Styela clava: one gene and its partners. The main gene of each other region encodes a partner of the protein of the gene in region 3 in a complex. Links are inferred from orthologs where the notes say so. Each region holds a gene or a part of one and is shown on either strand. Other genes may lie near its edges.

Region 1 (10,503 bases), on a different chromosome or scaffold from region 3:
ATTTGCTGCTTTACATACTTACTCTTTGCAATACTGCGGCCCGTAGATCCTTGAACACCTCCGAAGAAGAGAGTCCACAGATAACTCTCCTTCCTTAAACTGTTCCCAAACATGTTGCACCCTCTCGTTGGCTTCCGCATACCTGCCGTTGACACGCCCCACAACATTCTCTTCCAAAATATCCACAACGTCCACCTCTATCCCTATACTTACCTCGTACATTGTTGAGATTAAACTGTAAAAAGGCATATTTTTCCGAGTTATACTGTTGAAATGGCGGTGCCAACCTTCCAGATGATTGTTGGTTCTTATTTCTACGTCGAATACTGACCAATCCTTGGGAGTCCAGACACTGTTGTATAACCATGTGTTTTGAAAATATTCGGCGAAGTTCTTGAGATCTTGAGTATGCATCTTTTCTTTCAGTGATTTGAACCTGGACGTGATAAACATAGCAGGTATATAGCACAGCGCCATGACATGCTTTATCAGGTCTCTTGTCCCAGCGTCCCTAAAACAAAATAAAACACGACGCTATAGTAAACGGTGCACGTCACATAATCTTCTCAACAAGAAAACAACTTTCACTCCTGTCGAAGTCAAAAAGCTGGTATATGGATGGGACGTTCGACGTGGTTAAAGACCCATTTTATCAACTTTTTTCTATCCATGCATTCATCAGGAGCGGCGAATGCTCGAAACAAATTCCGTTTGTTTTTGTCCTTATGTCCCGGCGCAGGAAAATTGACTACGTCCACATCTTCAATGTAATTAACAACCTACTCACCCTTTCGTTTTCCGGTGCACGTGTGAAGAGATTCGTACTGGACTTCGAAGCCGCAACGTGGCAAGCACTTTCTTCAGTATGGCCGGACGTCGAAAAGCAGGGATGCTCTTTTCACTTCACTCAGGCCATCATGAAGAATGTGCGCCACAATAATTTGGCTCGCCTATACAACAAGTGAGTGGTTAACCATATTTATATATATGTCTTTGTACTTCTTCCACTTCTTTTGTTTTAACATGTTTTATTTTGTTTTAGGGACGCTGGGACAAGAGACCTGATAAAGCATGTCATGGCGCTGTGCTATATACCTGCTATGTTTATCACGTCCAGGTTCAAATCACTGAAAGAAAAGATGCATACTCAAGATCTCAAGAACTTCGCCGAATATTTTCAAAACACATGGTTATACAACAGTGTCTGGACTCCCAAGGATTGGTCAGTATTCGACGTAGAAATAAGAACCAACAATCATCTGGAAGGTTGGCACCGCCATTTCAACAGTATAACTCGGAAAAATATGCCTTTTTACAGTTTAATCTCAACAATGTACGAGGTAAGTATAGGGATAGAGGCGGACGTTGTGGATATTTTGGAAGAGAATGTTGTGGGGCGTGTCAACGGCAGGTATGCGGAAGCCAACGAGAGGGTGCAACATGTTTGGGAACAGTTTAAGGAAGGAGAGTTATCTGTGGACTCTCTTCTTCGGAGGTGTTCAAGGATCTACGGGCCGCAGTATTGCAAAGAGTAAGTATGTAAAGCAGCAAATTTCCCATAACGTTTAGTATTCAAATAAAATTCAATATTCGTAACGAAAAAGAAAACAAAACCTTCCATCCATTAAATTTCCCCATAACGTTTAGTATTCAAATATCATATTAAATTTATCCATTCTTCGGCCCAGTTTCTTTGCCAGGCGCAGCGACAGTGCCTATCTGTTCCTGGTTTTCTTCTGCAAAAAGAAATTCCAACTCTATGACTGAAACCTTGCCGTGGTGAGTTGGCTTACAACTAATATCAGTCGGCACTAAGTAAATGCTATGCAACTATTGAGTCTGCGTTTTGCAAAGCAATGTCTTCTCCCCGAGCATCGATATCGCACAGCGATTGCTCGACTAGTGAGGTTGCTCGGTAGTCGAGTTGTCTTCACCTCGAGCATCTATATCGCAGAGCGATTGCTCGACTAGTGAGTTGTCTGCCTCTCGTTGCTCGGTAGTCGAGTTGTCTTTACCTCGAGCATCGATGACGTCACGTCGCAGAGCGTTTGCTGGTGAGTTGACGGGCGACTGCCGTAGGCGAGTTTAGACTACTGCAATCACAGACTACTAAGCTCACATTCATAAATATTTAAGTGTTACTGTGAAGTATAAAGGTTTTAATATATTCAAATGTGCTCATTCAAAACATTTAATACCAATAAAGTTCATAAAATTAAACGAAAACAGTCCTATAAGTCAACAGTCTAACTTCGCTAACGTTACTCCAATTTCGTCTGTAGACTGTATTTGTATTCATACAACATGATTAAAATAAGCCACTTATACAAATAAAAATGCTTTCTAGAGAATATTTATGTATTTTTCCCGACATTTGAGCACTAAAAACATCAAAAACGCTTTTCTATAGACCTAAAACACCATCGTAGAAAATGCGAAAAGACGGACAACTCACCAGGTCTCCAGGTAGTCGAGTTGTCTCTGGTGAGTTGTCCGTGTAGTCGAGTTGTCCGTCAGCCGTAGAGCTGAAAGATAGTACGGTAGCGCGATAGAGGTAATATATGTAACTCGCTAGTTGTAGGGCAATTGGGGTTAAGTTAAATTTTATAATCAATTAAGCTAGCTTCAGGGGAATCCGCCTCGATCCCGACCGCATATTTCGGAATCGATAGATTTTGGAAAATACCACAAGCGTTAGAATACAACAATTCCGCTAGTATATCTGTATATAAGCGGAAAACCTATAAACAATCCTCGAGAAGACCCCCAGGTTGATTTATGGACGAGACGTTTAACCTCTTTCACACCGGGACCCTTCAAGCCTCACTTCTGTAAAACTCCGTCTTTAAAGCCCCCTAGTCTTATTTCAAAACTATGAAAGACGTTAAATACGAACGGCGATCGTGTACCGGTATATTAGGAAATCCTACTCCCTATATGATTCTGCCAATGTTAAATACTTATAGAGAGTCTTGCACCTAGTATGATAAAACCGTTGGCCGACTATACCCACCGATGCCCAACGTGCGAATACAAAACCCCGTATGTCTGTATGTGTCAAACTCTAATGTAGAGTGGATTGTACATAAACCTGTTTTTAATGCTTAAATATTTTTTGTATGTACATTTTTTCTGGTCAAATAAATTAAATATTAGGAAAGCTGATGCCCAGCTATAAGTATAGGGCAGCCACGATTAAACCCCATGTATTCGTATTTATTTACGGTTGAACCATAACCTCTCGTTCGGTTGCCAAATCAATGTAGAGTACCGTATAGCTGTATAGGGTTATTAAGCCAGTTATTACTGTATTAATGTAGGGAATTGATGGTTGAACCGGTAGACTACCGATGATGGGTTACGGTAGTGACGGGTCAGCGGGTACCGGTACCGTACCGGTACGTGGGCGCTACCGGTACCCTACGGCCTGCGGTAGGTACCGGTACGGCGCGAGAGCCGATAAGTCCAGCAATCTACTCGCACACAATTACATCAGTGTTAGCAATTTCTTTCTGTCTTTTGTTTGGATGTAACTTAACGTTAGTTACATTTGATAAAGAAATGCATTTATTACTGTATCAACTTTTCTCTGGAAATTGTTAATATTTTTATTGTTAATATTTTAATTTTTAATATTTTAATATGTTCATTGTTAATAAACTCTCTCTCTCTCTCTCTCTCTCTCTTTTGTTTAAAGTTCTAGTCTAATATTTCAGTAATTCCAAATTGCCTCAATCAAAGCCTACCAGTACAGAATGTGTTTTAGATCTGTAGATGAATAGGATCCTACAGTCCCGAAGCTGACAGTTGACAGAATCTTCAGGGGTCAGGGCAGTGTTCTCAAACCTAGAGGCCAGACTGGATTCCATGGCAGGTGCACGCCCAAAGGCGCTAGCCCTCCGCAAAAATGCACGCGAGCGAATTCAATTTTGCATGCCGAAAATTTGCGATTGCTCACCAATGTAAATCAGTTTAAATGGTTTTAAAATCAATCATTCCAGCAATATAAAGATGCCAAAATATTATAACTCCACCATTGTCGACTAATACTAGCTTGCAAGATTTGGTCTGATCGAAAAATTGCGAAGCAAAAAAGACCATATCGTGTTGAATAATAGGAATCCTGTGAGAATAGTTATGGACGAAAAGATCGCCTCAGCACCAACGCTGGCCAGGTACGGCTCTGATTCATCGTATTTTTCATACAATAATTTTACACGAATGTACTGAACAGTACTGGTATCTAAAGTCGCACAAACACTTTCAAAATTAGTGACGAAGTATAAAAATGATGTTTGAGGTCAAAGGTCAAGCGTCCATTTTGCTCTAATTTGACGTATTTTTTATCCATTAATTCTACGTAAAAACACTCCCAAAATTAATGACAAAGTAAGTCAATTTTGCTCTGGTTCAATGTATTTTTTTATCCAATAATTTTACGCGGATGTACTGAACAGTACCGGTATCCAAAGTCGCACAAACACTCTCAAATTTAGCGACAAACTGTAGAAATAATGTTTGGGGTCAAAGGTCAAACGTTCATTTTTGCTCTGATTCAACGTATTTTTTATCCGATACCAGTAATTTTACGCGGATGTATTGAGAGGTATCTAATGTCAAAGTCAGTTGCACGCGGGCGCAGTTGTTTTGCACGCTGTGAGCTATAATTGCATGCCAGGAATTCTTATTTGCACGCAGGCATTTCTGATTGCACGCCCGATTTCTCGTTCAAAAAGGCCATGACATCCAGACTGGCCTACAGGCAGACAGGGCTACAGACGGGAGGCGGACAACTCGACTACACAGACAACTCACCAGAGACAATAAAAATGCACTTATACAAATAAAAATGCTTTCTAGAGCATATTTATCTATTTTTCTCAACATTTGAGCACTAAAAATATCAAGAACGCATTTCTATAGACCTAAAACACCACCGTAGAAAATGCCAAAAGACTGACAACTCACCAGGCCTCTAGGTAGTCGAGTTGTCTCTGGTGAGTTGTCCGTGTAGTCGAGTTGTCCGTCAGACCTATGATTGTTCTTTTAACAACAATTTGAAAGTTATTGATTTTATTTTCTAGTAGATTTTATTGTTTATTTTATATTCAAATTGAACCCACTTGAGTAATGTCAATTTCAAAGACTTGCCCATGCAGCCATGACAAACAAGCGTTCTCATTTAGTGCAGCAATCTGACCTTACTGACTTAAAAAGATTTCCTGTTGAATAAATGTGAAGTAAAAATTACTGTTTTTTGTTATTGATAATTCAAGTATGCCACTATAAATAAACCTTAAAAATATTTTTGGGTCATGAGATTTTACAAAAAGTATTCCCAAAAAAGCTTGGGTCACTTGAAAAAAATGTTGGAATGTAACCACTGGCAGACTGGGTTAAGCTACTGTATTGATAGACACAATCATTTACTGGGCTACATATTATTCTTATTTACGGTAGTCATTGCTCTATACTTAACTAGCTGGATTTCCACCTCGTTTAGAACAAACTTCCAGATTGTGCTCTGCGATCGGCTGTTGTCGCTGCATCATGAAAACTTTGAATTTTTTGATATTCTTCTTTTTATAATTTTATTATTCAACTGCTTCCAAGGCAACTGAACATCAAATTTTGAATTCGAACCATTATATGTCACTTTGTGGTCTAAAATATTCTGTGAATGATGTTATTACAGTATTAAGTACTTCACTTGTTGAATTAAACAACCAAACAGTACAATGCTGGAATGTAGGCATTTTGTTATCCATCAATAATACATAAATAAAATGATTTAAACTCACCCTTATTCTGTTATTATATCCCTATATACAGCATGCAATTATAGTGGTATAGAAAGTTTAAATAAAAACATTCTTGATATAGATAGAATATTTGCGAAATATTCATAGTACATACTGACATAAGAGGCCATCATGTCCTCAGAAGGCAAAGATCGCAAAGTTGCATACTTCTATGATATGGACGTATCACATTTTCACTACGGACCTGGTCATCCCATGAAGCCTCACAGGCTTGCCCTTACACATAGTCTTGTTCTGCATTATGGACTGCAAAATAAAATGCAAATGTATAAACCATATCGTGCAACTCAACATGATATGTGCCGATTCCATTCAGAGGAGTATATCAATTTTCTGCAGAGAGTAACACCGATGAACTTACAAGGCTTCACCAAAAACTTACAAATGTTCAATGTTGGCGATGATTGTCCAGTTTTTCCTGGACTATATGATTTTTGCTCAATGTATACTGGTGCATCTTTACAGGCAGCAACTATGCTGAACAATAACAAATGTGACATAGCGATAAATTGGTCTGGTGGGCTTCATCATGCGAAAAAATATGAAGCATCAGGTTTCTGCTATGTCAATGATATAGTAATCGCAATTCTTGAACTTTTAAAGTATCATCCCCGTGTCTTATATCTTGATATTGATGTTCATCATGGTGATGGTGTTCAGGAGGCATTTTATCTAACTGATCGAGTCATGACTGTTTCATTCCACAAATATGGAAATTATTTCTTTCCTGGAACGGGTGATATGTATGAATGTGGTGCAGAAAGTGGGCGGTATTATTCTCTGAATGTTCCTTTGAAAGATGGCATCAATGACCAAACATACCATCAATTGTTTAAGCCAATTATGCGTGCTGTGATGGAGTCATATCGCCCAACTTGTATTGTGATGCAATGCGGAGCAGACTCTCTTGGATGTGATAGATTAGGATGTTTCAATTTAACCATAGACGGACATGGAGAAAGTGTGAAATTTATGAAAGAGTTTGGAGTTCCACTTATGTTCCTTGGTGGGGGAGGATATACTGTAAGAAATGTTGCGAGATGCTGGACATATGAAACCTCAATCATAACAGGTCAAGAAATAAGTGATGAATTACCATACAATGAATATTTTGAATTTTTTGGGCCTGATTATGTCCTGCGCCCAGATACAAGTCAAAGGGTTGAGAATCAAAATACCAAACAATATCTCGACATTCTCAAACAGACTGTTATGGAAAACTTGAGAACGATTGCTCATGCTCCCAGTGTTCAAATGCATGAAGTCCCTCCTGATCTTTTAACATTTGAAAACTATGAAGAAAACAATGATTTCGATGTTCGAGACCCTATTTCTCAACAAGAGCAAAGGATCGAAGCCGATAATGAATTTTTTGATGGGGATCAGGATAATGATAAGGAAAGTGATGTTAGTATATGATTCAAATTCTGTCTGTCCTGTTATGTCAGATTCTTGATGTTATACCTTTGACCATTTGCTGTGACTGCCATTGGATTGGAATGTCCAATAGAAATATTCATATTTTAAGTCGGGACCAAAAAGATTATGCCATTTTCAATTGAAATGAATTAAGCAATAATCGACACAGACTGTTTGCCAGGATACAGCAACAAATACTTTTGTCAATTTGCTCAATGGTCTGCATCTCTAAATGGTGATGAACAATGAATACTCAAATTTCGAATGACTGCAATTTTATTGAAACAGTATTTATCTTTTTTGTTGCAGCCCTATTGGTATTTCAATATAGATTTTGATTTCCATGCTACTTTGCCACCGATATAGCGCTTTCTACTTTGTATATTCTAGTCACTTGTATGTTTTTGGAATGACAGAATCATTGCTATTGAAGTGATTGTGATTTGACTGAATTTTTTTTTTTTCATATCGAACCCTTTGATTGATTTATTTGAAAATAACTAAATTCAAATGTTCAAATGTTTTGTTTGTTGCTACTAGCTAGTTGTATTAGCATGTAGTATTGATCTTCATTTTAATTTTTATGATATGTTGTGGTTGTATGTGAGGTTGCTATTAGTACAATGTGCAACATACGCAGGTTTTTGTTCTGCTGAAGGTCACATATTTTGCTAATCATTTTTTACGTTTTTAATATTGTAACTCTGGAATACTAATGAATTCTATTGCCTATTGGTGAATAATATTGTTTTAATATCTATATTTAAGATAACAGATATCTTGGAATAATGATAACGCCATTGTTTGAAATCACACAAGATGATATATTCCTGTATATCATGATTAAAGCTCCTTATTCCAAAGTATCAGAAGCAGATATTTACATAGAGGATGGAAGCTTTAGATTCCATGCAAAGCCATACTTTTTACGGCTCAGTTTTTCTGCTTCACTCACTGAAGATGACAGAGCAAGCTGTGTTTATGATGTTGAAAATGGAGAGTATAAACTAAAAATAGCTAAAACTGATCCTGGAACACATTTTGAAGATCTTGATATGTTGACCAAATTATTGACACCAGCAGGAGAGAGACAGGTAAAATATTTGTGCACGATCGACTTTTGAGAAAAAATGGATTCAAAGTGCGCGCTATGGTTCATAAAATACAATAAATATTTACAGTATCTACTTCCAAATATGTCCAGGATTTCTAGCTCGGCAAGAGATGAGGTTTTACATTTGATGAAGATTTATCATTCTTGTCTGGAATAAGCAATTATTATATTTTAAGTTATCATATATCAGAATTTTAGTAAATTTCAGATAAATACATTGGCGGTTAAAATTCACAAAAATACAACTAAAACAAATCATTTCACATTGATATTTTGCACAGCACTTGTTTCAAATTTAATTGAATCTTCAACTAAATGTCTGTCTTTTTCTGAAAGTAATTATTGCTTTATTTATCTTCTCACTAGTAAAAAGCTGTCTATACTTTGTGCTATTATGTTCCTACTGTTTAATTAAATTAAAACTTTAAAATTCTCAGGTGAAGAAACCATTGATTGAAGTTATTGAGAATGACGATAATGACGGAATCGGTGAAGATGATGAGCAGTTTGATTGGAGTTATCCTCAATTTCTTCCCAACAATGAACCAACAGAATCTTTGATCGGATGTGGATATGGATTTGCCAATTCGAAGTCTGGTGTATTTTCAAAACTTCAAGAAGACATTCACGATGTGATACAAATCCGAAATATAGAACAATCGTCTATAGAAAACAGGAGTTCTGAAAGAGTTGAATATGAAAATGATAAATTCAATCCGGAACATTATTTAGCTGATTTATTCGAAGAAACAAATATTGAAGAATTAATCAATTTGACTCCACCTTGGAAAACTGCTAAAGCTGATGGAATCAATTTTAGTGAGAAAGATAAATTTATTTTGAAGAATTTTCCGAATATAGAATATCTTCTTGATAAAGTCCAAACGCAATCTGTTTATATGGGTCTTGTAGACATTTTATTCAGTTATGCTTACAATTGGAGATGTACGGAAGGTGATTACAGTGTGGAGTCACCTTGGAATATAAGGACTGTAAGCACCACTTTATCATGGTGTGCTACTGATTCGCTTATTCACAAAACTTTAATAAACTCGTACAGACGATGCTTGATATTTCCTCTGTATAGAAATTGGAAATTGACAAAGGCATGTCATAAGGATGTTGCAAAAATTTTGTCGAACGGCAAGAAGTTTATTTTAAAATGCTTATTGCAAATTCATGACTTATTTGCAAATAGCGATCCATATTATGTGCTCAATGATATCTATATAAGAGATTATTGCATTTGGATACAAAAGTCTGGACCTGATGTTATACAATCTTTATCCAAAGCTGTTAAAGAAGTGAAAATCAAGAAAAAAGAAGTTGAACTTGATCTCGTGGAGTTGGAAAAAGCCGCACATTTAATGTTGGAGGAACAAGAATCTGAGCAATCAGAACAGTCATTATCGGTAAAAGATTCTACAGATGAAATATCATGTAAAATTGAAGAATTAAAAATATGATTGGATAAAAGAAAGTCATGTCTGTGCTAAAGTGTCTGTGAATAGTGTGAACACTATGGAAACAAATTTGCTTCAGAACAGGCAGAGTCTCGAAGTTGGAATCACAATTTATTGATGATTGTGGACCCCAGTGGCCACCTCCTCTTTTGGAAATTCGATGGCCCTTCAAAACCCTACTGAACACAGTTCAATGTCCGCGTGGTATACCTTCATAATTATTCTAACGCTACTGATTTTTTTTCTCGGATTATGATATTTCTAACTGTGATAGAGCGGGCAATATATCACAACTCGGTGGACGCGTGCCGTGTGCTAGCCACCGCACCCCTGATTACCCCGCGTAAGAAAATATAAATCCTATCAAGGTCATAGCTGGCTCCAAATTTGGGATGGGGTGGGGAGACTGTTCTCTGCGACATACTTGCCAATAGATTCTACTGTTTGTGAAGTCTATCGCCCTCGTGGTAAGCACTTGCAATAGTGCATGAGAAATCCTCCTGCGTTCTCAAAGTGTCATAAATTGTGATATGTTTGAATTTAGTATAAACCTTTGGCAATTAATATTTGTGCTGCATGCCGGATTTCTAGATTGTGTGATTAATACATGTTCTCCCTGAAATGCGAAGTGCTCATGATATATATCAGCGGTGGCCAACCTGCTTTCGACCGCGATTCACTAAAT
Region 2 (11,315 bases), on a different chromosome or scaffold from region 3:
TGTTTGCTCTTGTTCCCATTATGAACTTGGTATCAGTATTCAGCTTATCTGGATCCCACTTTAAAACACAAACGTGTATAAGTTACATGTCCTCAGATGCAAACACAATCGAAAGTTCAAATTTCGTGGAGGATAATTATGAAAGGATTGTTGCACTCCTCGCCGCCGTAGGGTGGTTCACGTAACCGCTGGCCGGTTACGGCATTCTCCACTAAGTCCATGCATCTAAAACAAAAAACTGACTAACTAATCCCATACCCAACATGAACTGGTAACTGGACGAGAGGCTATGGTTCGCCATTTGATTGGTCTTGTCAATCGCTCCTCTCTCCCAGGATAAATATGTATCGGTGAATCTTATCCTAAACATGACAGAATCAAATGACTTACATTATCACGACTAAGTGGTTCTCTTCCACCCTGTTGAGGGCTTCCATATCTTCTTGGAGTTGCCTTGCCTCTTTTCTAAATGTAATATATTTACAAAAACTTATTCTGTCACCATAAAAATATACACATTTAGTTCATTTGAGGCAACCCTTTAAAAAATTTCTTAGGTTTCATAGATTCAGAAAATATGGGATCTTTCAAGTAGATTTGAAGAAAGATAACATTGGGTTATAAAAGATATGTAACAAAAATTTGATTCCATAATTCAAACAGATCAATTTTTTCATTACACAGATATAAAATAGAGATTTTTGGAAAATGTTGTTCATTATAGCAAAAAGTGAATTTTATACCATTTTCGCTAAACCCCCTTTCCCATGTCATTGTGATATCACAGTATGTTAATAAAATTGCCTAAATTACTCACTGCTGATCTGGGAGTTGGAGAGAGTGATCTTCTTGGCGAGTGTTTTGCAAGTCTCTGAAATTTTATAAATTTCTATTCATTTCAAAATGTATTGAATGATACAGGGTGGGCAAAAACATTTGTTTGGTCCACCCTGTAAAGAGGAAAGTTAAATATGTAATATGCTTGTTTTCCAACAATGCAAATATTCAATCACTTTCAATGCCATGTTGAGCCGGCCAGCATTTAATTAAATAAACGTTCAGTACTTTTTGTATACACTAATTAACATATCACCTATTTTTGTCTAAACAACATGACAGTTTAGCTATCGTATATAGGAAAAATTACAAAACAATATCTATTTCGCATTAGTTATTAATATGGTGGATGGTTGACAAAAATACATTGCTTTTTAGCATAAACACAATAGAAACATTAGATGAATGACATTGAAAGTTTCTGTTCTAATATGCTAGAAAGCTTCAGTGACAAATACCTCAACGATGGAAGGTCATCAAAATTGTCACTATTATTTGCATATGCAGATATGCTTTACATTTAGTTGGAAAATTCAGTCATCAGCCATCAAAACTATTCCAATTACTCGAATGTGATGATCAAAGAATGAGTAAATAGTTTTAAAATGTAAGTAAATTAGAATAAATATAATTTTAAATTTTACCTTTGTCCAAGGAAAATCTGGACTTGGCACTCTCTTCATAACCATCCATCCAGGTAGTGATGACGCTAAAATAATTTAATTTATAAAACAATAGTTTAGACCATGGCTCTTCAAATTGGATCCCAAACCCCCCTGGTGGGTCTTAAAAGTGATCAATGGGGGTCGCGGTACCCAATATTGTCAGAAGTAGCCATACTTACTCTTCTTACATTTGACTCCACTTACCTGTGCGAAAAATCTTTTTTGACACTAACTAATTTTAGGACAAAATAATGATTTTTTTTTGTTTGATTGATTTTAAAGATTTAGAACCAGTGTTAAAGCCCACCATTAACGAAAGCTGTGATAATATAAAATGACATTGTAATTACCTATAGATGTCTGTTGTTGCCCTTTTCCAGAACCTGCATTCTGGATTTTAGCAATTTTACTTTTTGGTTGATTCACAGGAGTCCTGGTGTCAAATAATGATTTGCAATGTTCAAGAGCATCAGAACAAGCTTTAAAAACCTAAGAAGAAAAATTGGGTTCGTAAATTTCAGTATTATACAGCATAGAATATGATATGATCCCCCCTACCTGAATTAATTCTATGAATCGCTCATGTACTGTGTTTATATTGGAAGAAAAATTCATGTTTCTGCTGGTACTTATCAACTGCATTGCTGGTTTTCAGAAGTTATCTTAAGTTTAGTCTTACAACATATTGAATAAAAAGCCAATATTTGTATCAAAAAGCTCAGATTTGAGTATATCGGATAATAAATTGTGCAATAAAAAAACTAGATAGTTTTTCCACAAAGAAATTAAATGATCCCGTCTCACTGATATAGACCTTGAATAAAAAATTATTATACGAAACGAATTAATGGACAATTATAAAAAAGGTAAATATTCCTACCATATTCTCAACATTGAGTTCATCAGAAGTTGCACATGAGGTAAATGGCTCAGTGTGCATGTTTGACACTATATTTTCTGTCGCATCCCGAAAAACCTGGCATGATTGAAAGAGGTGACATTTAATTCCTTTATAACTTGATTTGACATATCAAACAGACAGGTTTTGAATAATTCTCAACGAGGAAATAGTCTTCCAATCAAGCACTTTAAAATGCTTGACCCAACAACTTTCCTACGTTTCGCAAACATTTTGATACCGAATTTTAAAATCGAAATAAACAAATTGATAATTACAACTAACGGTAGGCATGTTCGGCAAGTAAACAATATTAAACTGACATGTGCTTTCACTTATGCTAGTTACAACTACAAAACAAAGGCCATACGACAGTCAATGTTACAACAAAAATCCGTATGCAGGCGATAATAATTTGATGAGCAATTTTTAATTTAGGCATCAAAAGTAAAATCTTCCACGGCCACAAAAAATTTGTTCACGACCCCCAGTTTACCACTGATTCAAATTGTGGGAAAATGGCCCAACAGTATGTTAAATCATATTTGGCAATGAAAATTTATCACAACTGACAACTGTATTTGACAACTTAATCTTCTCATTTAAATTTTAAAATGAGATTAAAAAAATAAATGTATAGCACACCGAAATATACTTCTTAAACACTTCCACAACATCATAGTTGATTGCTGGCTGTAAAACTTTTCTAGTGAGATCCAAAGAATCGGTAGCACTTGCACGACACCGCGGTGAAGCACCAAAATGTCCGGATCGTTTTCTTATAACATGGGGATGATCAAGATGATACACGCTGAACGGTTGCTGGTATTAAAAAAAGATATAATTGACTTGGTTGAAATTGATATATTTTTCGGAAAATTTATCTAAACCTAAAAAAGTAGAAATTTACGATTTTTTCCTGAAAGATGCCTGGTCCCAACATGAATTGACTAGCATTAATTTATTCAAATTTGATAAATTGGCTTTAGATTTCACTCATATTGAAAAAATTAGTAGGTATAAATGTATGATTGATTATGAAAAATTTCTGTGAGCCCTTCTACACTAGTTAGGTTTTTGAACTGTAAGTAAACATTGTACATCAATGCAACTCGATTGAGATAGTTTGAAGCATAACATTATAAAGATTGTAAACACAGAAAATAACCAGTCTGTCAGAGAATAAAAATATACTGTCATTACACTGAGGTACTTACAATTTCAGTTAGGTCAGGTTCATCCAAGTTTTCAGAAGGTATAGATGACTTTTCAACAGGCCAGAATGTTTTTGAAACATAACCACGAGGAATGAAAACATCTGACATGACGACTTATACTTCTGTTGACACAGAGACTTGCAACTTTATTATTTCCAGATTTAGGTGACTGTTTACAGGTATATCATTTAGATATGACACTTATATTTCCTGATAAAGTATTCGATAAAGTCAGTTTGTGCCACATTTCCTTATTCCAGTATTCAGTTACTTGGGATCACGAAATAAAGAGCTCATGCAGTCATGGGCTATTTGTTTGTTTTGCTATGTATTGCTTCTTTGTTTTGTTGGAACAGAAAATTGAAATAAACTTACTTACTGTAATTAGCAGTGCTATAGTCTGATCGTGGACCAATGCAGCATACAATAAATGTTAAACATAATGAATCAAATACCTGATTATCATTCGATATTAGATGTATTTGATGTACTGGTTGTACTGATGTATACTGATACACGACTTGAAGATTAATCAACAAAAATAAAGACCAGATAATTAAAACAATCAGAGAATTTTGACCTGTGTCAGTGTGTGGAGCATTTGCTAATGATTGAGCAGCAGGTAATGAAGTAATGTGGTGAAATGAGTTAGGATAGGATTTATATAATTGTCCCTTTGGTCCGGTTACCAGCCATTGTCGGGTGTGGTACCGGTACCGACATATGCATAGTTAGCCAGTCCGTATTTGTTTCACTTTCAGATCAATTTTGGAATGCAATTTCAACCTGGTTTCCTTTCAAAATTTTTACTTGCAGAATTAACTGTGTATATACGGATAAACTGAATATGTAGCTCTGCTCTGAACCAAGTGTTTTCACTATTCCATCCAACTTCAAGCGGAATAGACGATTTCGGGAACCTGTTGACTAGTTGCGAAACGAGAAGGGTGTCCATCCCCGGGAAAGTCCCTTTTCTAATTTGGGCGGACGAACTTGATCAATTTTGCCTCGTAACGCGCTTCTCGCAATTTCACTCACCCAAGCTTCAGGGCTAACCAAAGAGAATAGCTCGTAACTACTATTGAATATGAAATGAGTTTCTAACTCGTGCTCTTTCATTAATAAGCGAGCGTGTGTGTACTTAGCAGCATCATTTGGCTAAAAGAATGCCCAATATGCGTGTCAAGTATAGTACCACAAGTAGGTACCAGTAGGCGTGACGTAACGAATTTTGCATATGTTAACTCTGGGTCACTCATAGCATCCAATAAAACTAAATTGCCCTGCCAACACACGGCAACAGCTACAACTACTGTATATAAATATTCTAAAATATGTGCAGCAATTGCTGCGTTGCATTTTTCAATATCACCATGCCACCATCAGTATTCAGAAATCGAACTAGAACTTTATAAGCAACTTACAACTGTTTTTTAGCACTTGTTCCGCTCCTAGTTTCATAATTCACAAATTCTCTGATCTTAGTTTGTTTTAAAGCAAAGAGAGGGATATAGAATTTACATCTTTTTCGCGTGGAAAGACGATAAGGCTGCATAATCATGACGAACCACGCCTCTCGTCGTGCCACACCCACTAATATAACTTTTCAACAACTCGAGTCAGACAGGATTAATTTTACAATGTGTTTATTCAGTTTTTGTAGACAGGATTTTTTCAACTAAAAATCCGACACTAGATGAAACGATTGTTATCCATATTTTACCGAAACATATCACAGATGATATTACCTACAATCAGCTTAATTAAGTAGGCAAGAGAAATGCATTTGGCAGAGGTTTGAGCAAACATAATCGTTATGACCTGTATAATTATGGATGCAATTTCTGTTGCAGGCGAACTTGTGTTCAATGTCTGCCCAATGCGAATGACCTATAATTAAGACTTATAATGTTCAAGCACATGCTGCATTATTGTTATTGGCATTTATTTTGAAAAGTTGGATGGACTGTTCAGATTTTAACTTGAGGCCAGAAATTATATGTTATTTGTATAAAAAGATCCGGTCATGTGTCTATTATTGGAAAGTATGTGAAATTGTACTTATCTATTGCTCATACTTGACAAGGAATAAATTTTCTATGCAAGGAAAATGGGTGAGACTTAAATATTCAAAATACTTAAGACATGGATATATCCTTGTATATATCAACCAGCTCGCAGCTAGCAAAAGTGATTCAATGAGTAAAATATCCTAAAAATCCTATTTAAAATTGAAGAAAATCAATGAAAAATACAATAAAGCAAAATAGAATAAATAAATCATAAGATCACAAGAAAACACTTGATGATTTTCAGTTTTAAATATAAACTGAAAATGTTAACAAGGGTGGTAAACCAAAAATCCGCAAACAATAACAACTGAACAAGATTGAAGTAGTGACTACACAATCAACAAGGACAAAACGTAAAACTGTCCTATTCAACCCGGGGAAGGCTCTCAAATTATGCCGAAAATTGAGTTAACTTATTCGTTAATATAAAAAATAGCTCTGAGATATTATTTGTAGACCTACAAAAAATTTGTCCAATAAGTTGCAAAAATACAACCAAGTAGGTTTCATTGAAATTGGTTTGTTTGATCTGAAGTAATTTTTATGTGTTGACTACATGACTACTCAAAACATGACCTTACAGATGATTATGTTGTGGAAAAAATGCTCGGTTTTCACATGAATCCATATAATTCAGTGTTTTTTTTATAGAGCAATGCTTCATTTATGAAATCTGGACCATAAACTAATTATAGTTGTATAAATCAATCGAGATAGTGTGATCCAAATGAGTGATTTACTTCAATGTGTTGATTATAAGTAATATGGAAGTAGCAGATGAATCCAGTGCCCACGATTGACCATATATCAAAAAAAAATTGAGTTCGAGTAACAGTGTTATTCTCGATAAGTGAAACTTGCCTGTTTGGGTATAAATGAGAGTGAACTCCAAAAATCAAAGCTACGATTATAAGTATACAACTATGAAAAATCCCACCTAAATCCAAAGACAGTTTAGCATTATTGCGCAATATGAATTTAGGATAAGTTATTTGGTGAGCTTGTGTAACGTTTTTTACAGAAAATTCGTTTTATAATATATCATATTTCCTAATAGGAATACTTTTGCATGTAAACCAGATTTGATTATATTGATATATTCTTTATGAGTATGATATCTCTGTGTTTGGCCAACCAGGAGCACACAAATGACACATGAAACAAAACATTATTAAAAACATTAACTCTCAAGCTAACAACATGTGCTTAGCAGCAAAATGGATGAGTATCACAAGATAACACAGCTTGAGAGTCAGAGAAATTGATTAAAAGCGACATAAATGAATAAGAGTAAATAATAATAATAACAGCAACAGAGAAAAAGAAACGCAACATACATTCATAAAAGGCACAAAACATTTAAAATAGCCTGTTTCGGTGAATTTGGATCTTCATTAATCACGATTTTATTCACTATTTTGTCTGGAAGTAGGGTTTCTAAATTAAGATGAATTTGTACTTTTATACCTAGAGAATTATGCAGTAATGACATACAAAATGTTTCAAAAAGTAGGTATATAGGAAATAAATAGGAATAAGAATATAGGGAACCCCAGCTCTTGAGCTTGGCATTACTTGTTGTAGACAATCTTTGAGACTTGAATGAAGACACTATTGAATAGCATAATGATAATAAATTGATAGTCATGAGTTTATTGAGCATTGAATATAACCCCAACAATTTTTTAGACAGTGTCTATTCAATTTGATTTTTTTTTTCAAATAAAACGCTAGTTACAGCGAAAAAGATTGTATTTCTGATTTGTAATTATGTATTAGGGAAATATTTGTCAGTGATTTAATGGTGATATTCTATCTACTCCTTTTTCAGTTTGAATATTTTTAAGTAATATGTCATTTTTATCCCGCTTATGAATTAACACAAAATTCAAAGATGATTTACAAAACAATGTTAATAACAGCACAATTTTAAAACATTTAACCTAGCATAAAACGACCACCACCTTGGGCACCGAATCAGTAATACAGTGGATCGAAGCTGATAGAGAGATTGAATGAGACTTGCAAGAAAACTTATTTTTATGAAGGGTTAAAACAAATTATAGCAGTATACCCTTGTCCAATGGTTTCGAAGCTAAATATTAAAATTAAAAATGTTCATCTTTAATTTTTATGTCAATAGATATGAAATAAGAAACCTCATAATGCTTAACAATGATCATACACAGCAGAAGATAACCACAAATTCAGACTTGCCCCATTATCATGCTGCTTACTCAAATGCAAAAATATGTATGAATGAGACGAAAAGTTTTTTACATTTCACTCAGGAACAAGTAACCTCCGATGTCGATGGGCCAAATTATACTCACATGATGATAAACAGTTTATAACAAAAATTAGCCGTGTCAAAATATGTGTGTGTTGTTAAGGACTTCGATTATATTGTAGGATTTCAAACATTTCACTGGGCGTTTAGTTGATGTTTTCTGTGGTTGCCAAGATAAGTCACAATTTATAAGTAAAAAAACTGTAATGTTTACGAATTCTTTTTTCCTGGAAGCAAGAAAAGCACTAATTTTAGTGATATCACACATGCCATTTGTATTTATAGATGATTCGCTATGAGAATATTATTGAAGCTCAATTCCTATGTCCTTGAATTTTAGAAATGTGAATAAAATTTATTTGGAGGAATTTAGAATGTATTCGAAATAGACCAGTATTTGGTTATGGCCAACCAGCTGGTTGCGATTAAATTTGTAAAATCAGCCCTGTGGTACGATCATGAAAAAAGTTCAGCCAGCTAACTCGACATAGAGACAGTCTGTAGAGATGGCGGGGCACTCAAGAAAAACCATATCAAGGTAATCGTTCCATCACAGCACCAATAATAAACAAAAAAAATGACGAAAAATAGTAAATAAGTTTAAAGTAAATAAACACACACACACACACACATAGACATAGATCTATCGTTAAGAAGTTCCCCATTTGCTACTTATGGTTGACCTTAAAATTTATTCAATGTTCAAATATTCTTGTTCACTGATTGTTTGCAGAAGGTGATTGATATTGTCCATCTGAAGAAGAATAAAAATATAATTCAATGAAGCCTAATTTAAAAGTTCGACAATTAGGTGAAGGCGTAAGCATTTCTGTTACACAAAAGTTCCTATAATAATGATGGCCACAACAGGTATTATGTCACATTTCGGGGTTTTGGGCAAATTGCATTTTTGTAAATTACAGATCTTCACAGCCAAACCTAACAATGGACGTAAGGCAATACCTAAAATCAAAACTTTAACAGGCACAACTTTGAAACCATACAAATAGCCTCGATCCAAAAAGTAAATTTCTGAAAATTGTGAAATAACTACTGCGGCGATATAATGTGTTGTTGCTTTAACCATCCCACACGCTTCCTTGTCTCCTTCCATATTTAGCATATTAGGTTTTATTAGGATCTATATGTTTTTCATATTATCTGCCAAGTATCTCCTTTATTTTTACCCGACTGATTTTTGTTGCACTCTGTAACTATGATTTTCAATATTTTTAGAAGATGATAGGTAAGCAAAAAAACTATGCAGGCGAGTCAATATATTACATATTAGAAAAAAAAATCTTACATGATCTCTGCGGGGTTTGAGCCATATAGTGTCCAGCTGGGATTTGTTGTTGTTGTCCTTTTTGTTGCACAGGATTGGACATTGCAACTGATGAAGGAATCTGTCCTGCTGGCATAGCACTCAAGTAGTGGGTATGTTGCGGTGGTTGATTCATTTGCATTGGTTGAGGTTGGCCGCTTGGCACCATCATTATATTTGAACTAGAAAATAACATCACCTGTAACTTTATATCTGTATCATATTCATACCGTTATAATTCAGTTAAAGTCGTTCATTTGTATGAATTCAAACATTATAATACATACAGCTAGGTGTATTGTATGAGACTAGGCCCAATGTGGTTTAAAATAACACAGTATAAATTTACATTGAGTAGGTGCATGAGTGATTTGGCATGAGAATACTTAATGTTTCCTGACAAAGGGTCAAATATTCTGGAATGTCGTGTGCGGCCCACAACTAACTCTCAAGCCTTCTTTTTTGAGTTGAATGAAAGGAAATTTCGGGGAAAACATTCAAAATTTATGAAATGACCAGGAAGCCAGGAAAAGCCACTCATCTTGAGAGTTGACTCGCACTATGACCAGATTCATTTATGCTCAATATACTCAAAGGGACTCAGTTCATCTATAGCTGGAAGAAGATGCGCCAATGACTCAAACACCGTAATGGTGATTTTTAAAACATACTTTGCGTTAATTGGCATCCATACTGGTCCGCCCCCCTGTTGAACTCCATGTGCAGGAACCATAGCCGGATGACCTGTAGGTTGCTGGGTTTGCTGTGTGGATTGGGTTGCAGGACTTGAAGCTGTGACGTGTGTAACCTATGCAAAAGCAAAGGCAGATATTTTTTTAGAAGTCACCAACATTAACTACAGGATTTGTAGAATCCTTTTAATTTAAATTTTTCCCCTGACAGGCATAAGGATTTGAAATGGGTTAATCTATTTGTTACGGTAATACAGTTGTGATATTACCTCAAAAAAAAAAAAAAATTCAAGATAATGGGTCGCTTATTTTTCTCAATAAAATCCTTTGTAGTAAATTTGATTTATTAATTTATATTTGGTATTAATGTTTTGCTCAATAGTAATTGTATATTACAGAAGTATCAACGAGTAAAGGCTTGGCAGCGTTCAGTTTTTTTTGCTTAAGTAGGCCTAAAGCTATGCCACACAATATCAAAAACTCGCTGATGGCAAATGAGCACAGCTTCCTCATTTTGAGGAAATTTCTGGGAAAATAAATGTCACATAAAAATGATTGTTTTATACAAGTCAATTAATTTTGTGGCCATGAAAGCACTACATGCCGTTTAGTATTTGAGCATATCCAGGGGTCGCAAGATTTTACAATTAATTTTTTAAAAATTCGGGTTGTTGGAAACCACTGGTATAATCTATGTGGATAAATTAGGTTCAATGAACAACTAATTCTTATCTTACCTGAGTTGGCGTATGTGCAGAATGGGGTCTCTGCTGCATAAAGTTTGATCCTTGTGGAGCCACAGGTACTGTAAAAGATATCAAAAGGATATCGATTGAGAATAACTAGTATACCTAAGTGTCAAATGTTTCAAACATTGTTAACTTGACATAAAGGCTTGTTATGCATCTGGTCAATTCCGCACACGTCAATTTGATTCAATTGAATCCTAAGAAAAAACTAGATATTGTTTTAATAGCAGCATTGGTCATAACAATGAAACATCTAATACTCACCATACACAGGTGCAGGTCCTTGATCAGATTGATATTGTTGAATATGTTGTTGTGGTGTGCCCGGTATTGTAGCAGCCATTCTAGCATTTTGAGCCATCATTGCCTGCTGCGGTGCTGGACTAGCATATACAGGTTGACCATTTTGATCAAAGGCAAATTGTTGTCCTGGCATTTGTACCGGTATATATTGCTAAAATAGGATATAAAAATTGTTTTGGTGAATGAAAATTTCTTTACGAATTCTATAAATTGAAAAAATGAAACAAAGAAAATGCTTACTTGTGGGAACTGGGTGTGATATATTTGT
Region 3 (11,449 bases):
CTCTTCCCTCAGAAAATATTTCCATTGTTTCTTCCACAGTGGTTTCATTAGAAATTTTAAATGGCCTCTGAATAAAATAAATAAAAATTTGTGATGAAGCAAACAAAATCTAATATGGAAGCGACTTCAGAATTTATCAAAATCTTTTGGAATGCACCATGATTCAATTTATAATATATGAGATTGAAGTAAGCCACATAATAGTATTCCAAATGCTATTTATAAATAAATCCTCATGTAACTGCATCATTTATATGCACGTTTTTCAAAATGCCATAAAAAGATTGACTTCTATTTTTCCAAGTTTTTGACTTTGGAAGTAGAAAAAGAATGTCGATAGATGAGACCCAAGCGACTATTATAAGCTCTATTCACTTATTGGGTAATTGTGGTAATTGTAAGTATAGTTGATTTGATATTATTATTGATTGTTAGTGTTTATAACTACATCACACAAACGCACTGGATGGAAAATCAGAGTAGTTGCAAACAATTCAATTAATAAAGTTTAAAGGATGAATAAATAAATAATCACTCTGAACTGAATAAATAAACTCACTTTGTGCCTCAACAGTTCAAACATTGTTATTGCAAGTGACCACCAGTCAACATTAAAACTGTAACCTTTGCTTTTTCCAAGCTTACTCTGACATACATCAGGTGCTAAGTAGTGTAATGGGAATATATGTATAAGAAGAACATCATTAGATACGTTTACTAAAGTAGGATACAGCCGGAAAAATGGTATGTCAATATTTAAAAAACAGGATTTTTATCCAAAATCAATAAACCTGGGCATGTTTGAAAAACATAAATTATAGTTCAGCAATTTAGCTTATCGTAAGTGTTGTATGATATTATTTACTTAGTAATCTGTAATATTTTTTAAATATTACATCATTTTAAATCCACGAAGATTAAATCAGATTTCTTCATATGTACCATATTTGTTTATCACAACCAGATTGGAGAAACAAAAACAAAAATATACAAACAGCCAAAATAACATACCAACATATGGTTTTGTACCAGCAAAACCTGTAGCCAATTCATCTTGGCTATCTAGTATAGTTGCAACATTAAAATCTGTCAGATGGGCATGACCTTTGTCATCAAGTAAAATATTATCAGGTTTGATGTCTCTGTAAAGTGAAGAACAATAATTTTAAGAAAAATCAGGATATATAAACAGATCAATAATTTTATTCAAGTAATTGAACAACTTTATATAAAAACTTCAAGAAAATGAAATGCCAAAAGTTCTGATGACCTGTTGCCTTATCTTAATAGCATGTGAATTACAACCTGTTGAAAAGGACGCAAAATTTGAATTGTAAATGCCTGTAATTGTAATGCGTTGGCAGCTCAGAAAATTTTATATTAAAGCAAATTTAACTCATAAAATATTTTATTTGTAATGTCTTAATGCTGTTGTTTTAACTTCAGTATCCTCCCAGCAAAATATAATGATCTGAACAGTGAACAAACAGATGAGCACTGAACAATCAAACCCAGAAAATTTTTTTACCAATTTTACTTCAATTTCTATAATTAGTCTCTCATTTACGCTTATAATATCAAATACATGAGAATAACATCTGATATTAAACTAATAAAAATATATCATTATCATGATTCACTCGACTTACAAATTATCATATCGAATTATTTGAATAAAAAATCCGAAGAAAACACAAGAATTACATGCCAAAACAATACTAACCTGTGTATAATGCATTTGGATTTCAAATAGTCAAGAACAGATGCCATTTCCAGAATATATAACCGAACGTCATCTTCAGTGAATAATACATGTTTGGACAGATGATACCGTAAATCTCCACCAAGCAGTAAATCAACAACAATAAAGAAATCTTCCTCATCCTGATATTAGTAGAAAAACAAAAATTCAGAATATTACACATTTCATTAAAACGAAGCAATAGGACAACTGGCAGGAATGTCCCAATGATAACATATCTATACATTAAGTAGCTTAAAAAAATGTTATAATTTAATAATTATAATTACTAATTCAACTTTGGGGTGGCCATGTAGAAATGGCTAGCTAGTATGACCGTAACACTAAAAAATTACGGTAATACAATTTGTGTGCATGGTGGAGAATATACAAAAGAGAATTTTTGATAGAAAAAAACATAGAATCTAATAATAATACAATTTTATAACTTTGGATGATAATGTTGATGATATATATTCAATTTATAAAAAGAAAACAAAATAGAAACTAGAAAATGCGGGTCTTCTGGGCTATAAATAGTTTGGGTAAATAATACTCGAAATTGATCTTCTTTAAATGCTCACCTGAAATGTATACCAAAGATTAACAATAAAGTCATGTTTGAGTAAACAAAGCATAGAAATCTCTCGTTTTACATTTTCAACAAAATTTTGTTTGATGCATGACACTTTATTTAGATATTTCATAGCAAATAATCTTCCATTGCTTTGTTTTTGCACCATGCATACTTTGCCAAAACTCCCTTTTCCAATTGATCGCAAAATTTTGAAGCTGTTGAAATTAACTATAAAAAGAAAAGGTATGAAATTATGATGGAAGTTATGAAATCAATGAAAAAATTAAATGAAGGAACTAGGTAGGCCTATGCTAAAAATCATGATTATTTATTCACAGGGATACATAAAATTAATGGAATATAGCAAATGAAATGCTACTGATTTTAAAACGCCAACAGTTTCAATATCTATTCGAGGAATTTATATCGAAATTGTTGAAATATTTTTGAATAGGAAGCCAATTTTGTGCTGTAATAACTGCGTACTATACCTATATTTTCCTTATAATGAAACTAGAAACAATAAAAATTGTGACAGATTACCTGATTTATCAGAATTTGAATCCGGGCCATCTGCTTCACCATCAAGCCTATTTTGACTATTTCCCATATCTCATGTCACAGTTGTATTGTCAGAGTTCAAAAATCAGAAGATAACAGCAGAACTTCTTAATCAAGTTTTATAACAATTCACAATCTACCATGAATCAAACTTTCATTCTACATAGCCCACAAAATCACAGTACCCTTGAGCCTTCATACATGCTGTTGCAATCACAAGCGCCTAATCAATTAATCAAACATGGTATGCATCACTATTCATGGCAACAGATAACGTTTAGCTTTAAAAATAATGAATAAAAGTAATAAAGCATGACCATAGTAAACATACATACAGTATATTCATAGTTATATTGATAAGAGGAAGTAACAATACAATATTCTATATTACTCGCAAATACAAATCAAATTCACTATTACTGTTATTAACTGGGCATATAAATTACTGATGATGCTAAAGCATAAAGCACAACCTAATTATTGAATTAGTTATTGAAATTACCACAAAATCAAAAATAGATTTCCACTGTATCCAAGAATTAATTAATGGTTACAGACAATCAGTAAAACTAGAAACCACTGAATATATATATATACAAAGGTACGATGTATTTAAACAAATATGTCAATAAACTCATAAAAGAAATTTCCAAAAACTTGATGCCACACAAGGTCAGGGATTGCCAAGAACCGAATGAATCCACTATTCCAAATGCATTCTAGAACGATATTTTCGAACATAGAACAACGATTATATTATGAATTGGGTCATGTTCAATGAAAAATACATAGAGCAATCAGTAAACATTCAAAGGGTTCGGATCAGGAAATGCAGGTAAATTTAGATATAAAGTGATTTGACTGGTTTTGTATTTCTTACAAATTTCAGAGATGAATCATCAACTTTAATTATCGGCACTCAAAATAATTATTTTTCAAATTGAGTAGGCCTACTGGAATAATTCTTGAAAAAAATCTTTGAATGTAAATAATTTCAATTTGTTTCGAACATGAGCTGTTATAATCTTATTTTCGATTCAACCAAAATAATAACGTAAAGAAAAAGATAAATGCATCAGAAGCCTCATCTGAATTTGGAATAAAGTAAAATGTAAGATTAGTGAAGCAAACTTCTAAACGTCAAAATTCTACTATTCAAGATGGGCTTTGTTAAAAATAACCAAAAGAATCATGCCAAAAATTGAAAAAAAAACTTCTCACTATATACATCAATAAGGATGTTTCATTGGCAATGTCTGAATTAATGAAAAACGATTAATTTGTACAAGAATTAAATGTGTAAATATCAATGGCGTCTATGAAAGTCTCGTCTTTCATGTCCCTTTTCTCGATTTCTTGCTTTCTCATATTTATCATCATGAGAGTATTTTTGTGATCGATCGTGCCTTGATGAAGATTCATCTTTAGGATGAATTTTCTTATTGTAATCTTTAGATTTTCTCTCTTTTGGCAGGTCATCATCAGATTCTGAATGCCTTTTAGATTTTTTTTTCTTTTTTGGAGAGTCATCCTCTGATTCTGATGAATCATTCTTTTTGGAACGCTCTTTTCTTTTCAACTTTTGCTGCTTTTTGGACTTCTTTTCATTGTCACTTTCTGAATCAGACTCTGCTGAGGAGCTGTGTTTACTTTTTTTATTCCTTCCTGATTTCTTCTTTTTCTTCTTCTTTTCCATGCGATTCAGCCTTCTTAATAATTTCATTTTCTGTTTGTCAGAAAGATTTTTTAAAAATGCAACTTCCGGCTCATCTTCTTCATGTTTGACAATATCATGCTTTTGATCCTTTATTTCAAAATGATTTTGCATTATTTGTGGTTTTAATTTAAGACCAGAAGTGGACTGCATTGCACCAGCCGCAGCTGATGGATCCATCATTGTCATGCTAGGATCAAAAGAAGATGTTTTATTATACAGAGGACATTCTCGATCTGTGTTAATATGCCCCCATTGGTGACATTTTATGCATCTCACATTACGAACACATACTCCGAAAGGCTGGTCGTTTAGCGTCTGTTTGTCATCTTTCATCCATTTTTCACGAGGTGCGTTCCTTTGCCATTCAAATTTGTATTCCGTTGTGTCCTCTTCTTCTTTTTTCTTTTGTAATCCGGGAGGCGCATCATACATGAAACTCAATCCCAGTTTAGCCTTGCTGTCTCCCATTAATACCCTAGTTTCATGCATATCTTGTTCTTTTCTGTATTGTTCCATCATTTCCTCCTGTTTCCTCTTTTCGTGGTCAAGTTTTTGTTGTCTCATCCATACTCTTTTGATGTTGTCTCTTGATGCTGGATGAAAATCCTTCTTGCACATATAATTATTAAATGATTTCCCCATTTTGCTTGTTTCAGAGAGACGTAAAAACTAATAAAATTTAATTAGTACAATATCTGAACAAATATGAGAAAAGTAAAAGGTTAACAGGGCGGTTAGGTTTTGGCTTTAAAAATTTAGCCATCAGTCAGTCTATGGCAGTTGGCTAAACAAACAGAACTGCAGAACAAGACTTGCCAGAAAGGAAACATAAACAAATAGAATCAATCGAACCTCTGAACCTCGATAGCTGTTTCTCTTTTCCAGTTTTCAGATTTCAATGTCAGAATGTTGATTTGCTCTAACAGTCTAAATCTCATAGTACCGGTACGTAATAAAAAAAATCCTAAGTTTATCACAGATAACTACACAAGAATGGTGCAGTTCCCACTTAAAGATTCTCGCACCTCAGTTCTTACAGACTTAACGACACTAATGCCCGTTCAGACGTTACCCGTTACCGATACAGGCTTACGAATACGATGCCTGCTGGTACTGCGATAGGGATACGAAATGCAAGTGTTCCGATCAATTTTGTTCGAAAATGTTCTGGTATCATCTTTTGAACACTTATGACGTCATGTGATCAAGGTTTAGTAAATTCTGAAATTCCGTTGCCAGACGACTCACTCAAAAGCTTCTACACAAAAATCTTAAATGTGCTCGACTTCGGAATTGTTTGATTCATCTATCTCAGGCATTTAAAGCGTCTATACTAAATGTCAAAACAAATTTGTTCTTGTTCTTGGCTCCGACCTTTGCCCCCAAAATCAAGAGTATTTTTAGTGAGTTAGCGCTTACAAATTGGTTTTAAAAAGAATTCGAGATAGTTTTATATTTTTTACCATGCAGAGGTAATCAAATGTTTAGATTTACGGAATTTCCTCGCCGTTTCACGGTGAAATGCCATCTTGTCAATGGCCAGTCGCATCGTGGCGATGTACAGGTATCATTCATCAAATTTGATACGTAGGGTACCATACCGCACGGCGCACGGTACCGGTACCGTACTTGGCAAATGTCATGTACAGATTTAAGAATGTAGTCCGCTATGTTGAGACTATGCAAACCTTTATTTTGTGAACTTACCATCTTTTTCAAAGTGGTTATAGCCTAGTAAGATATCCAGAACCGCAATGTCTGAATGTGGTTTCGCGAAAATGTAATTGTGGAGAAATACATCAATTTTCCTCAGTGTTGTGTGTATAAGAAAAGATATTTAATATGGTCTTTTGTCACTCTATATCTTTCTAATATAACTATTGTGCAATATCTTCAAAAAATACTTATTGCTTGATTACCGTACATAAGCGATGCAATATGCTTACATTGATTTCAGTTTGAAGCTGTAAAATACTCAAATCTAGCTGTATAACAGTAAAATGGGAGCAAAGAGACAAAAGAACAATCCTAAACGGGAGAAAAATAATCAAAAAAAGACCAAACTGCTATCAAATAATATTATTGCAACAGCAGTGGGATTATTTTCTTGTATTGCGGGTTTCTATATTGTGTATTTTTCAAATCCGCACCAAAACAAGGTGGTGACAATAGAAGACATTGGTGGGAGCTATAATATTACATGTTCAGAGGATTATAAAGAACATCCCATTTTTACTGAATGCACTCCAATTAAAACTTGCGGACGTTTTGTCCGGGATAATATTGTGAGTGATGAGGAAGTTGAGCAGTTACTAGCTCTTGCAAAACGAGGTTTTGCACATGGTGGGTCTGATGGTGGAGCATCAATTCTTGATTTACATTCTGGGGCTTTGTCTATGGGTGAACGTTTTGTCAATATTTATAAGTTTTTAGAAAATGATGCTCTTTTGGAAACATTTAGAGATGAAGACTTTGAATTATACAACGATGTTAAATCCAGAGTTCACAAGACAATTTCAGAAGAATTCGGAATCGATCCTTCAAAATTATATTTAACGCATCCAACCTTTTTCTCGTCAATCACCAATACTTCAGCAAAAACTCAGCATGATGAATATTGGCATAAGCATATAGATAAAATTCAATATGGATCGTTTGATTATACATCGCTGCTATATCTAACTAGTTATAAAAAAGATTTCGAAGGTGGAAGATTCATTTTCGATGATGCAAATAGTGTTATCATTGAACCCAAACGCGGAAGATTATCCTTTTTTACCTCCGGATCAGAGAACCCACACCACGTCGAAAAAGTGACATCAGGTGTGAGATATGCAATCACAATTTCTTTCACTTGTGATCCAAAGAAGTCAATAAAAGACCCTAAGATCAGAACATGATACAGCTTCTTAGCTTGATCTTGCTCCAAGCAACAACTAAAAAAAATGCAATAAAGGGAAAATTGTCTGAATTGTTTCCAATTTGCCAAATGCGCTCTTCAAAAAAAATAAAGCTGGCTAGTACTTTTTGTGGAGCTTATGAGTACTTTCTAACTTAATCGGGTCTAATGTAGTGCCGAACCTCAAGTACTCCTAGTGGACGTAGCATAACAATTTTTGCACATGTCAATACTAACCCCAACCTGACTGCGTCAAATAAGGCCCTTCAAACTGTCATCCAAGATGCGCAGATGATCACCCGAAATTGAGCAAACCATTTCTCTCGTCTCAACGATCTCGATATTAGAGAGATTGCTGCCGTTAGTGAGTTCTGTATCGTCGGCATACTTTGGCAACCTCTGTCGGTCAGGTGGGGGTTAGTATTGATTGACATGTGAAAAAAATCTTTCTGCTACACCCAGTAGAAGAAGTTCTTGAGGTACGAAACTGCAGGAATACCCCTTGAATTGAATTGTATGCGTTTGGTGGATAATTCGCTGACAATTGGGTGAACCCACACGGCATATAATAAAATTACAACAGTGTACACAGAAAAACCTTTTTATTGCAACAGTGTTTTAAAATGCACAGAAGCTTTGATCAATTTGTTGCCTGTCATTACTGTTAATTGAAAATCATTAGTATTGTTGCTGTAACTTTAAATTAGTCTCTAATAAAAAGTCCTAGGCTAGCCACACCCAGCTTGCATATAATTATGAAACAAGCACTATTTCAATGAAACGCTGCTATAAAAACGCAATAAAACACCACAATCATTTTTGCCAATCTACTATTTCCAACACAGGGCTTTTAAAACTAATCTGAAGTGACGCTTGGCAACTGCCTGGAATGTTTAATGCCGGAGGAAATAAAATTGGAACAAAAGTATGGGACATTGTGCTTAAGAGGAAAGATACAGACAGAGAATGTGTACATGGTTACACATAGAGCAATGTGACATGTCAGGCATGGGAATTTCAGACACATTTTAAAAAAAAAAAAAAATGAAATCACCAACACTAGACTTATGTTATAAAATATTAGTAAAATCAGTTTCCAGTTTTATCTTAGTTGCGCTTGGTGTCTCCAGTCTAGAGCCATAAACATTCAAACTATAAAGCAGGTCTCATTTGAATGGGAAGAACGGATTAATCGAAGGAAAAAATACATGATAATCTTCGACCCCTTATACACATAGATTTATCGAAGCTTTATAATTGTTTGCCGAGCATGGCATTTCAGATCGTAGTCAAATCTGCTAAAATGAAGTCCTTCAATTGACAAATATATATGTCCCGGGCTAAATTTCATCATTCACCGCAAGCAAGCGGTTTTGCCATAATGGCGTTCATGGGAAACATGGTCAAAGAAAGCCCAACTAGTTAGACCCTATCTAGATAAACATGGCTTTCAATAGGCCGGCAGTGGCGCAAATAAATACATCAGAAGTGCAGTCACAACACAGTGGAATATGTACATAAGGAACAAAAAAATCTGAAATATATGCACCGCAGTAAAATGTTCCATAAATATGCAATACAGTGATCATCATAATTATGTCGTCAGTCTCGATTTGATTCATTGTTTACAGTGGCCTAATTGGAACAGTATGCTCTGCATAGACTCCTGAGTAATCATCAAAGTCATCCTGAAAATATAAAATAACAATTTATATGACTTTATACAATAAGCACCTACACAATTACGTACAATAAAGCTAGCGATGAGATTGGGTATAGGATTGTTTGCTGCAGATATAGCCAGTTGCTAGTAAATACAAAGAGGCCATTGAATTAACTGCATCAGAAGTTCTATGCGTAATGAATTTACTTTATATTATTATGGTGTATTGAATTGGGTAGGGATGCTGAACCAGGAAGATTCTGGTCCTTCCAAACTACGATAGGTAAACCTAAACCTAGGTAAACATACATAGTTTTAAACTTATATAACACAGGCTAGAGCTAAGATCTGGAGCCCGACCCGATATTTCGGGTCGGACCTATATTGTTAATCATTACGTTCGGGCCGGGCCTAAAATGTCAAACATTGCGTTCAGGTTGGGTCGGGCCTGAAAAGTCAATAATTACGTTCGGGTCGGGCTTATATATCGCTGGATTTTTCATAAATAAATAGATGTTTATTAGAAACTATTTTTCAGAGTGGTTCCGATTTCATAAATATTAAATTTTGAAATTTAAAGTTTCGTAGTTCTTTGGATGATGATGCTTATTCATTGCTTTTTAACGGCATACCTCGTTTAATTTAATGTGCCGCACAAGTGGAATGCAGCGGGACATTTGACACACGTTTTTGAATGCCTCTTGATGATAATATGTGTGTCGCTAGGGAATTTCTTAGTTTGCCCAGTAAAACCTTTAGCTACCCTCTATCTATTAGCCCCGCATTGTCAAATGAATGTGCAGATTATAGAGCTCACAAAAAAAGAAATATGTCCCAGCATTCCCCTATTCTGTACTAAACTCTTGCAATGACAATTCGAAGAACTAAATAAAATATGAAATTTCGGGCCTGCAAAGCCGGTTAGTTAGTGGGTCGGGCCTGCAAATCCCTTTAATTAGTCGGGCCTGCAAATTCAGTTAATTAGTCGGGCTAGGGTCGGGTTTTATTACTCACGGGGTCGGGTCGGGCCTGCAAATCCAGTTAATTAGTCGGGCTAGGGTCGGGTTTTATTACTCACGGGCCCGGGTCGGGCCTGCAAATCCAGTTAATTAGTCGGGCTAGGGTCGGGTTTTATTACTCACGGGCCCGGGTCAGGTCGAGCCTGCAAATCCAGTTAATTAGTCGGGCTCGGGTCGGGTTTAATACCCACGGGCCGGGCTGGAATTTGTTAGCCCGATCTTACCTCTAACACAGGCAATCAAAACAGACAAGTTCCCATGCATCACAATTATATTGAGGAAGTATACACTGTGATTAACATCTATCATGTTATGACAACAAAAATTAGTACGCTGAATAAATCAGGAAGCTGCAAATAGATGGGTCATATACCAATATTGGTAGTCAAACTATTTCCCTTTAGATGTCTATATATATGATTCATGGCATGCAATGATTGCATTATTTGTGTTCTTATCTATTACAATAGGAAATCATGTTAAATATCATAACTTACCATTGGCATCTCATGCAGGCGACTAAAACGGAATGTCTTGATATTCTTAAATATTTTGATTGCAACAGCAATAACAACGATTAAAACTAGACCACAACCTAAAGCAACGACTGTAGCAAGAACAGGTGATAAGCCTTTTGAAGCTGCAAAATAAAGATAAAAATTGAAAAAAATATAAGACGTGACATTCTTATTCAAGAGTGTTCACATAGTGTATAATTTAATTAAGTAATTATCGAAAGCTTAAAAATTGGATGACACATTCTCCTTATGAACATTTCCAAAGCCACAAATAGTTTAGCAATTATTTTGGACTAGAGCAGCGGTTCCAAACCGCGGCCCGCGGGCCAAATCCGGCCCGCATAACAATTAAAAATGGCCCGTCAAGCCTAAGTGAAATAGTGTTCAACAGACTTTGTTTCTACTTTTTGTGATCTATAGACACTGCCAATTGTTATGTCCTTATTACAGTTTATGCACACCGGTCTCTCAATTATACGTATTAGGTATTGGGATAACATAGGGCAGTAATTCAGATATCAACCATATAAGAAAGCTTGAGATGTCAAATAACAAACATAAACTATACTCTGGAAACAGATTTTATTTAAATCTTAAATAAAGAAATGGCAGCGTTCGTATTTCTGTATTGGAAAGAATCAAACTTCAGCGATTTGTCTTCTTTGTCAGCAAACCATCCCAATTCTGAAGGAATACGTCATGAAGCACCACTATGAGTTAACAAACATATTTCAAAAAATGTCATGACTAAATC

What was found.
Region 1: corepressor interacting with RBPJ 1-like (region 3) and histone deacetylase 3-like share a complex: the UniProt entries of both Homo sapiens proteins name them as parts of the notch corepressor complex. The link is inferred for Styela clava from reciprocal best matches to the Homo sapiens genes CIRSR and HDAC3.
Region 2: corepressor interacting with RBPJ 1-like (region 3) and deoxynucleotidyltransferase terminal-interacting protein 1-like share a complex: the UniProt entries of both Homo sapiens proteins name them as parts of the histone deacetylase complex. The link is inferred for Styela clava from reciprocal best matches to the Homo sapiens genes CIRSR and DNTTIP1.

The regions. Positions count from the first base shown.
Region 1 is NC_135260.1:13,915,473-13,925,975, forward strand, and holds histone deacetylase 3-like, read left to right. Parts: upstream 1-5,831; 5' UTR 5,832-5,933; coding exon 5,934-7,241; 3' UTR 7,242-7,380; downstream 7,381-10,503. Other genes in the region: protein SHQ1 homolog, read left to right, coding at 8,030-8,335, 8,793-9,821. UniProt on the Homo sapiens protein: Histone deacetylase that catalyzes the deacetylation of lysine residues on the N-terminal part of the core histones (H2A, H2B, H3 and H4), and some other non-histone substrates.
Region 2 is NC_135252.1:15,502,953-15,514,267, reverse strand, and holds the start of deoxynucleotidyltransferase terminal-interacting protein 1-like, read right to left. Parts: upstream 4,222-11,315; 5' UTR 4,073-4,221; intron 3,740-4,072; 5' UTR 3,726-3,739; coding exon 3,618-3,725; intron 3,223-3,617; coding exon 3,046-3,222; intron 2,479-3,045; coding exon 2,383-2,478; intron 1,992-2,382; coding exon 1,853-1,991; intron 1,547-1,852; coding exon 1,482-1,546; intron 872-1,481; coding exon 818-871; intron 466-817; coding exon 391-465; intron 59-390; coding exon 1-58. Other genes in the region: uncharacterized protein LOC120343555, read right to left, coding at 8,696-8,733, 9,286-9,485, 9,975-10,111, 10,733-10,800, 11,009-11,198, 11,288-11,315. UniProt on the Homo sapiens protein: Increases DNTT terminal deoxynucleotidyltransferase activity (in vitro). Also acts as a transcriptional regulator, binding to the consensus sequence 5'-GNTGCATG-3' following an AT-tract.
Region 3 is NC_135258.1:13,378,564-13,390,012, reverse strand, and holds corepressor interacting with RBPJ 1-like, read right to left. Parts: upstream 5,311-11,449; 5' UTR 5,239-5,310; coding exon 4,186-5,238; 3' UTR 3,163-4,185; downstream 1-3,162. Other genes in the region: serine/threonine-protein kinase 32B-like, read right to left, coding at 1-67, 560-663, 1,012-1,142, 1,724-1,884, 2,326-2,546, 2,862-2,928; 2-oxoglutarate and iron-dependent oxygenase domain-containing protein 3-like, read left to right, coding at 6,597-7,496; uncharacterized protein LOC120338680, read right to left, coding at 9,121-9,183, 10,675-10,817. UniProt on the Homo sapiens protein: May modulate splice site selection during alternative splicing of pre-mRNAs. Regulates transcription and acts as corepressor for RBPJ. Recruits RBPJ to the Sin3-histone deacetylase complex (HDAC). Required for RBPJ-mediated repression of transcription.